Linked DNA regions of Nothobranchius furzeri. The protein of the gene in region 1 binds, or shares a complex with, the protein of each later gene. Links are inferred from orthologs where the notes say so. Each region holds a gene or a part of one and is shown in the gene's direction. Other genes may lie near its edges.

Region 1 (4,509 bases):
ATGAAGGTGTTGCACAATACATTTGCTCTTTTAATACGGCTTGATTCAGTCTTGTGAAAACTCGGGACAGACTGTCAAACTGACAGATGTTAGACATCATTTTCAACTCTACAGTCCGTTGCAATTTGCAAAGCCTGCTGAACCTTTCCTCTGTAATGTACAGCTATTTGGGCTGATTTAGTAAAGAAGCTCAGAAAGGAACAGACTCCTATTGGGGATGTCTAACAAAACAAGAATAGCAAAAGATACACTCTGACTTTTAACAGTAAGAAATAAAAACAAATTGGCACTTGTATATCTGACACAAGAGGGCAGTAGACATGAAAAGACATGATATGGAAAGTGTTCAGTGAACGTACAAATCCTTATACTCCATCTGGATGCTTTTAGACCAGATGGGGTTTGTTGTGTATTTATAACTGTACTCTACCAGGGGGCATAACCTTAAGCAATGAGCTGTACTGTACATCCTTAGTTTATTGAAGTTTGATGATAACAACTTATCAATGTCATTTTAAAAGCAAAGTCCATTCAAATAGTCCAAAATAACCTGGGTTTCAGCACTTTGTTGATTGCATTCAATGATTTAATTTTATTTATTTATATTTTTTGTTGCATGTATAAGCAAAAACAAATTTGTGTGTAGCTCTGTCGGTGTGTCAACCTACTTGCAACCGAGGAAGACGTGATTTGCCCAGACCATGGACAGAGACAGCAGCCTGTCCAGGCTGCTGCTAGGGACCCCAGGTTTCACCGTGGGGAAAGCCTCCATGTTTCTCAGAATGAACTCCCTCCGAGCCGACCACTGCTTGTTGCTCTCGCAGTAGTCTCGTTGTGTGTCGATCCATTGGGCCAGCTCAGGGTTCTGGCTCAGGTATTCTGAGACATCTGCGCTCATATGCCCCGCCATCCCTGGTGGACAGACAGAGATTTCCAAAACTCGCATTTATGTTGGTTAAACACAAAGATCTGTACAAAGTTACATGTCAACAGGTCAACACAAAGCATGTACTGACTACACTGGCTTACTAATGGTTAATGTTTAAGTTGTTATTGTGTCTGGTTGATTAGCTAGGGTGACTAAATATTTTCATATTACTACGAAGTGACTCAAATTACCTGACAAGTTGAGCCGCGTAACATTAGCTAAACCAAACACCACGCAAAAACCTACAACACTGAGACCAGCCTTTCCACAACAACTAGCGAAATTTTCATTGCCTGTCAAGTCAGTATGGAGCCGTTTGATATAAAAAAAAAAACTACGACATACTAAGCCGTTTCTGTTACGATTCTGCCAGCTAGCTAGCTATTTGTCCAAATATGACGCAAGACCACGACGTAACCGGAAAACTACATTACCCAGAAGACAATTGTGCGCCACAAGTTGTTACGAGTGTTTTACGATTTTAGCATCAACACAGCCACCATTCGCTATTCAAGTGAAACTAACTTGCAGCGCAAAAACACACTGATTTATTTTGTGATAAACAATAAAAACAGACAGCGCAACCCCGTCTACAAAAACGTGACGCAACCAGTGCGTTAAACGTAAGAAACCTGCGACACCGTGACCGGAAGGCGCTGGTTTGTTTTTGTCTGAGTGAGAAGCTTTGCTGTGTTACCTGTTGTCACTAGATGAAAAAACATGATTCACGAGCTGTTGTTGGCGCTGAGTAGATACCCAGGTGCAATCTTCTCATGGAACAAACGAACAGGTCTACAGGTAAAAACTGACTGAGCAATGCCGTTTAAATGCTAGCACTCAGTAGCAAAAGCTTAACCTAGCTATTTACTTCTAAAATTACATTGCTTATCATATGGCTGTGTAATAATTTTTTTCTCACTCTTGGATGCTTTTTATAATTATTTTACCTTGAATATATTTGTTGCTGCACAGTTCTATTGATAAGAGATTTTCAATTAATTTTATTTCAAAACACCATTTACACTCTTGATTCCATTTTCACTTGCGATCAACCAGAGCTAGTTTATTAAAAAAAGATGCCAGTCTTTTCTCAGCGTGACATCATCTTTTAATTTCCTTTCCAGGTGTCCCAGGACCTGCCCTTCCTTCACCCCAGTGAGACCAGTGTCCTGAACCGGCTGTGTAAACTGGGCTCAGATTACATACGCTTCACTGAGTTTATAGAGCAACACACCGGCCATGTTCACCAGCAGGTTATTATCGGTGTCATGAAACGTTTGCATATGATTTAAACTTTTATTGCTCACAGCTTAATTTTTGAGTATCTCCATCAGCACAAATGTACTTTATTAGCTGGTATTTGATCACATCAAATCCAACACAGTTTATATTAAAATACAAAGAAAATATCCTCAACAAAACATGAAATAAATAAAATTTAAATTGAACTTTCCTTCAATTCTTCACGTCATTTAAAATACTTTTCAGTCTTTAATCCAGAACGAAGCCCCCTTTGTTTATACACAATGTATTTTGCAGGAACACCACATGAACCCGCTGAACCAGACGGGACTTCATGGAATTTATTTGCGGGCATTTTGCACTGGTCTGGACTCAATGTTGCAGCCGTACAGACAGGCCCTGCTGGACCTGGAGCAGGAGGTAAAACCATCAAACAGCTAATACCCGGGACTCATTGAACACATAAGAGGAAGCTCATTTGACCTGTGTGTTTGTTTCAGTTCCTGGGAGATCCACACTTGACAATATCTCACGTAAATTACAAGCTTGATGAGGTAATTCTGTAATAAAAGCTTAACAGTTGTTTACTTGATTCAAATCTGTCTAAAGCTGCATTTTTTATTGAAGTTTCAGTTGCTGTTCCCCTCTGTTATGGTGGTGGTGGAGACCATAAAATCACAGAAGGTAAGGAACGCTTAATGCATGAACTTAATAAAATGAAATGTAAACTCATTTTATCCCTCACACAAAAGCTGCTGCTGTTTTCTCACAAATATATGATCAGTCATTCCAATCCGACCCTTTGCACAGTATAAACTCTTCATGTTAGTGGGTTACCTCTGACTTTTGACTGCTCAACAGCATTTTTATTAATGTCAGAGCTAGACTTTCACTTAGATTCTTTTGCAAAATTGTTTTTACATTTAAGGACGTTGTCCTTCTTTAAATTCTTGATTGCTTCTGATAAAATTTCACTCATAGGTGTGACACCATGATTCTGTCACCACCGTGCTTCACTGATGAAATACTCAGAAACAGTTATTTCTTTCTTTCTTTTTTTTATTCAACCAATCAAAACATGTCCGGGTGTTATTTTTTCCCTCTACACGATCTGTATCGCACTGCTAAAAAGCAGACATGCCCCTTTTCTCCTTTTAGACCAAAAATGCTTTTTAATTCTACTCAGAGATCCTTATAAAGAGCTTTAAGATATACTCAGAAGTTTCTCTGGATTCTCCTTTAACATGATAGACTGTTAAGACATTAATCCTGGCTCCTTAATCCCTAATTCTTGGTCAAATTATAAGGGATTTTAGACTTTCCTACAGTTTTGTGCTTTTATTTGAAAGTAGACTTTACAAAATACCCAAAATGTAAACAAAACAATCTCCTTCTAATATTAAATCTGTAACTGAAAGAATCATAAATATAAAAGATAATGCTTTTGTTAAATTATTTTAATTGGACTATAAAGGAAGGTCAGATACCTCCCTCTTGGAAGGAGGCCATTATTTCCTTGATACCTAAGAAAAATAAAGATAGAAAAGACTGTATAAATTATAGGCCAATATCAATTTTGAACATAGATTACAAAATATACACCTCAATTATTGGGAAGCGACTAGAAACCTTTATAACAGATCTAATAGATGAGGACCAGTGTGGGTTTATACCAGGAAGACAAACACAGGACAATATTAGCAGAACTATCCATATATTCCATACAATTAATAGAACATAAAATTAGTTCAGCCTTGATGCCGAAAAGGCATTTGATAGAGTAGATTGGGGTTTCTCTATTAAACTTTGCAAAGATTTGGATTTAATGAAGATGTAGTTAAGATCATTAAGGCATTGTATCAGCACCCCACTGCTAGAATTAAGGTGAACGGCTCTTTGTCAGATCGTTTTGAGCTAAGTAGAGGCACAAGGCAGGGATGCTGTTTAAGTCCCACGCTTTTTGAACTGTATATCGAGCCATTGGCACAAGCAATTCGACAAGAGGAAGGGTTGAAAGGGATCGTAATAGGTGGAAATGAACACAAATTGGCTTGTTCGCGGACGATGTTATGTTATACCTCAGTGAGTTAGATACATCTCTTCCTAGACTTTTGGACTTATTAGAAAGGTTTAATCTTTATTCAGGTTACAAACTTAACATGGCAAAATCACAAGTTATCCACTTCAACTATACACCAGGAGAGGAAATTAGAAATAGATTAAATATCAATTGGAAAACCCAAGTAATAAAATACTTGGGGATAAATTTAACTAAAAAACAGAATTATTATATGAGGCTAACTATTAGGGATGAGCCGGATACTCGTCTGAAACGAGTA
Region 2 (3,566 bases), on another chromosome or scaffold:
CACACAGACTGAACATAAAAATAAGCATGTACTCACTCATCTTGACTCATGACGAGGAGGGCTATTGCTGTTTTAGCGTTCAAGATACAGCAGAGCTAACCGTTAGCATTAGCTACTCAGCCACACAGCAGAAGCTCCTCCAGACTTGTGTTATTTGTGGAGGTAAAACATTAATGTCACAGAGCAAACAGAATCAGTGGTGGTCATGTTGCTGTTATCCAATCAGAGGAGAGATGTCCAAATATCAGGAAATACGACTCCCAAGTCCTGCTGTGTCCCGTGCTGACCCAGGCATGCTGTTAGACGTTAGTGACGTCTGTACAACAGTAAACTATTCTATAAAACTTTTTCCTTTTTGCAGTTTAAGACAATGAATCGTACGGGTCGGGCACATTTGTGACCTTGAATTCCTTTTCCTGCCTCCAGTGAGCTCTCATGCTGTGCCAGAAGGCATCAACGAGGAGAGATTGTGATGCAGATTCTGCTTAAGTCTCTGATAATCACACGGTTTACTTCTCTTCATGTGTTACCACATTATTCTACATTTCTTCTGCTTTAGACCTTAGTTGTCTTGATGAATTAATTATTCACACGCGGCCCCTCCTTCCACGGAGGACCCCGTGGGAGGATTTCATTTCCTGGAAGAACAAAAGCAAGAGTCCAGCTTTGACCTTGGGAGGAGTTGATGTTGGAAGAAAATCGTTGTTTTTCCTGGAAAGAAGGGGCTTACAGTTAGTAAGCCAGTGTTAAAAAAAAGATTTATTAAATATGCTGAAAAAGATTTAATTTAAAAAGAAATGCAGAAAAACTGACTGATGGAACAGAGCTGTGAAAAGCGTTCACCTCGCCCAGATTCTTGTTTTTTCTCCTCTCTTAAGGGTCAACAAATTAATCTCCACGCCAAAGATCGACAAAATGGTTATCCAGGCTAACCTGGCTCTGTTTAAAAGTAACCGACTCCTAAACTTGTTCCAACACTCTTGGCAGCAAAAGCCACAATCCAGAGTTTATGAGAACTGGGAGTCGCTCTCATCGTTTTTATAGAAGTGTATTGTAGAAATGTAGAATGTTATAGACACATTGAAGCATTTTCCAGCATGTTTAAGGTCAAAGGTCAGACTTTCTGCCTAAGAATTTCCTGGAGCAGAAATCATGGTTCCATCAGTTAGCAAGGCAGCCACAGACCATCACACTACCACCACCATACGTTACTGGAAGCAGACCTTCTACAACGTTCCACTCATGTAGCATCATATGGAGTATTTTCCCATCACTCTTGGAAATCACACAGATGTCTTTTGGTAAATGCAGGCATGCCTTTGTTTTCTTTTAAGGATCAGTAGATATTTTGGCCTTGAAACTCTCACTTGGAGGCCATTTAGCTCCGTATCTCTTTATTGTTGGTAAATCATGACCTTAATCATAACCAAGTGCGGTCTTAGATGTTGTTCAGGGATTTTTTCCCCTTTTTAATCTCCTTAGATCAGGCCATGTTCTGTTGGTCTACTTCATGTTGTCAGACAGGCTCTACTGAAGTGATTTCTGAATTCTGCTGGTCTGACAGAAATCAGAATAGTGAAATAAACTCACCTCTCCAAAAATCATCATTAATTACAGTTAATGCGTGATTTAATGAAGAGGACAATTTATATTCTCAAAGATTCAGGTTGTTTGACAGATTTTTACCCACATTTGATCAAATCCTCGTTTTAAAACTGCACTTTGTGTTTACTTAGGTTATCTTTAATATTGAAAAGTGTTTGTTGATCTGAAACATTTGACTTTGACGTCACAAAAATCAACAGAAGAAATCTGTAAGGGGGATACTTCCTCGCAGGACAGTATGTACTCAGCTAAAAACGGTGGTATTTGAGTATAAAGCACTGATATTAATTTCCTCATACAGCCCATAAAAAGCTTTGCTGAGTGTGTTTTTTAGCTTGTACAGGATCACATGCTGAGCTGCTGAGTAATCACTGCTGAATTAACATGCCAGGGCACAGGATGTTCAGTTTCAGACATCATGCTCACCGTTTGACATTCAGACACAAAAGTTGCCGAGTCATTGCCAGCTGGGTGAAGCTGAAGGTGATTTGTTCTCGTTTTATCAGAGAAGTTATAACAAACGGTTTTCATCCAACAGGAAATCGCACGGCTTCTTCGTCCTAACACACTGCGTGCGCTCTATGGCACAGACAACGTAAAAACGGCCGTCCACTGCACGGACCTTCCTGAAGACGGCATTCTAGAGGTTAGTCTCTCACACGCATCATCTGCCCAGCGTTTCGATACGTTTCCATGCTGTCCTACAGTTCGTACGTACACAGCTACCTTCAGCCAAGAACAAAGCCCCCTCACCTCGCCTGTGACGCGGCGTCTTTAGACGGGTCTCATGACTCCAGTGGGCTGGGGCAACCTTACATCACACTGGTTTTCAGGAGATCAAGAATGGCAGAGGAATTTGAAACAAAACCATTGTTTTGCAGGCAGTGGGTCGGACCCGTCCGACGTCATTGTTCAGGAAAACTCCTGATCTGTAGCCTGGACAATTGCTTCCTTGTTGAACATTAGCCTGTGACTAACTAAGCAGCCATGTTCCCAAGACTGGGAACAGACTGACCAACAGAGCCTGTGTAGACCAGAGAAGAGTTAAAGTCACAGCTTCTGCTCTCACACAGCAGGCATGTTTGCTTTAGACATGAGGCATCCACTCTGCTGATGTGTGACCAACTCATTCCTACTCTTCTTCCAGGTGGAGTTTTTCTTCAAGATTTTGGATCGATGAAATCAAGAGAAAGTGTGACTATTGTTCATTCTTCTGTTTATTGTTTCAACCTCTTGCAGACTAAATAAAGAGACAAGAGCAGACTCTCGACAGGTGTTTTGATTTCCAACGTTGTATTAAGATTTTGTTTGCACACAAACTAAACATCGTATTACTACTGCACTGCCTGATGGTTTTAACCAGCGACTTTGGTATTATCATATACATTACACTTTGAAAAAAAATGTACAACTGCATAAATATAAAACTCTTCAACTATGAAAATGGCTAAAACATTCAATAGTTGCATCACACGAAGTGACGTCTCCAGCAAAACAGATTTCAAAGCACTGAGATGCCACTGTTTCCATGGAGGTGACAGTCTTCTTAGGCTGGACCCACAAAGCTTTACACTACGAATTAAAAATGATTAAAAATGAACAAAAATGTCAAACTATCTATTAGCAAAGTAAACGTGTACAAATGGATCTTTCTACAGCCAACCTGAATGTAGAAAGGCACAAACAAAAAGATGGAGCGTGGTTCTTTACTCCTACATGGGTCAGAGTACCATGCCAGTACTTCAGTTAGTCAGAGCACATTGACAAACACTCCATACTCGCATACAATAACATGCCTGCACAGACACGAGTGTGCACACGCACACACACACCTTGGACCACTAAAGCTGACATAAGACAAAGATAACAGGACTAGACTACAACTCTGGGCATTGCAGAAATCTATAGAAACCACGTGGGGATAAAAGACCATGGGGACAGAAGCGAGGCGCTACACATCA

Evidence for each region.
Region 2: tubgcp4 (region 1) and nme7 share a complex: the UniProt entries of both Homo sapiens proteins name them as parts of the gamma-tubulin ring complex. The link is inferred for Nothobranchius furzeri from reciprocal best matches to the Homo sapiens genes TUBGCP4 and NME7.

The regions. Positions count from the first base shown.
Region 1 is NC_091749.1:30,376,732-30,381,240, forward strand, and holds the start of tubgcp4 (gamma-tubulin complex component 4), read left to right. Parts: upstream 1-1,537; 5' UTR 1,538-1,648; coding exon 1,649-1,726; intron 1,727-2,052; coding exon 2,053-2,181; intron 2,182-2,467; coding exon 2,468-2,590; intron 2,591-2,670; coding exon 2,671-2,724; intron 2,725-2,797; coding exon 2,798-2,854; intron 2,855-4,509. Other genes in the region: cdkn2aip (CDKN2A-interacting protein), read right to left, coding at 669-910. UniProt on the Homo sapiens protein: Component of the gamma-tubulin ring complex (gTuRC) which mediates microtubule nucleation.
Region 2 is NC_091756.1:61,680,275-61,683,840, reverse strand, and holds the end of nme7 (nucleoside diphosphate kinase homolog 7), read left to right. Parts: intron 1-2,143; coding exon 2,144-2,251; intron 2,252-2,752; coding exon 2,753-2,785; 3' UTR 2,786-2,871; downstream 2,872-3,566. UniProt on the Homo sapiens protein: Possesses an intrinsic kinase activity. Displays 3'-5' exonuclease activity with a preference for single-stranded DNA. Does not seem to have nucleoside diphosphate kinase activity.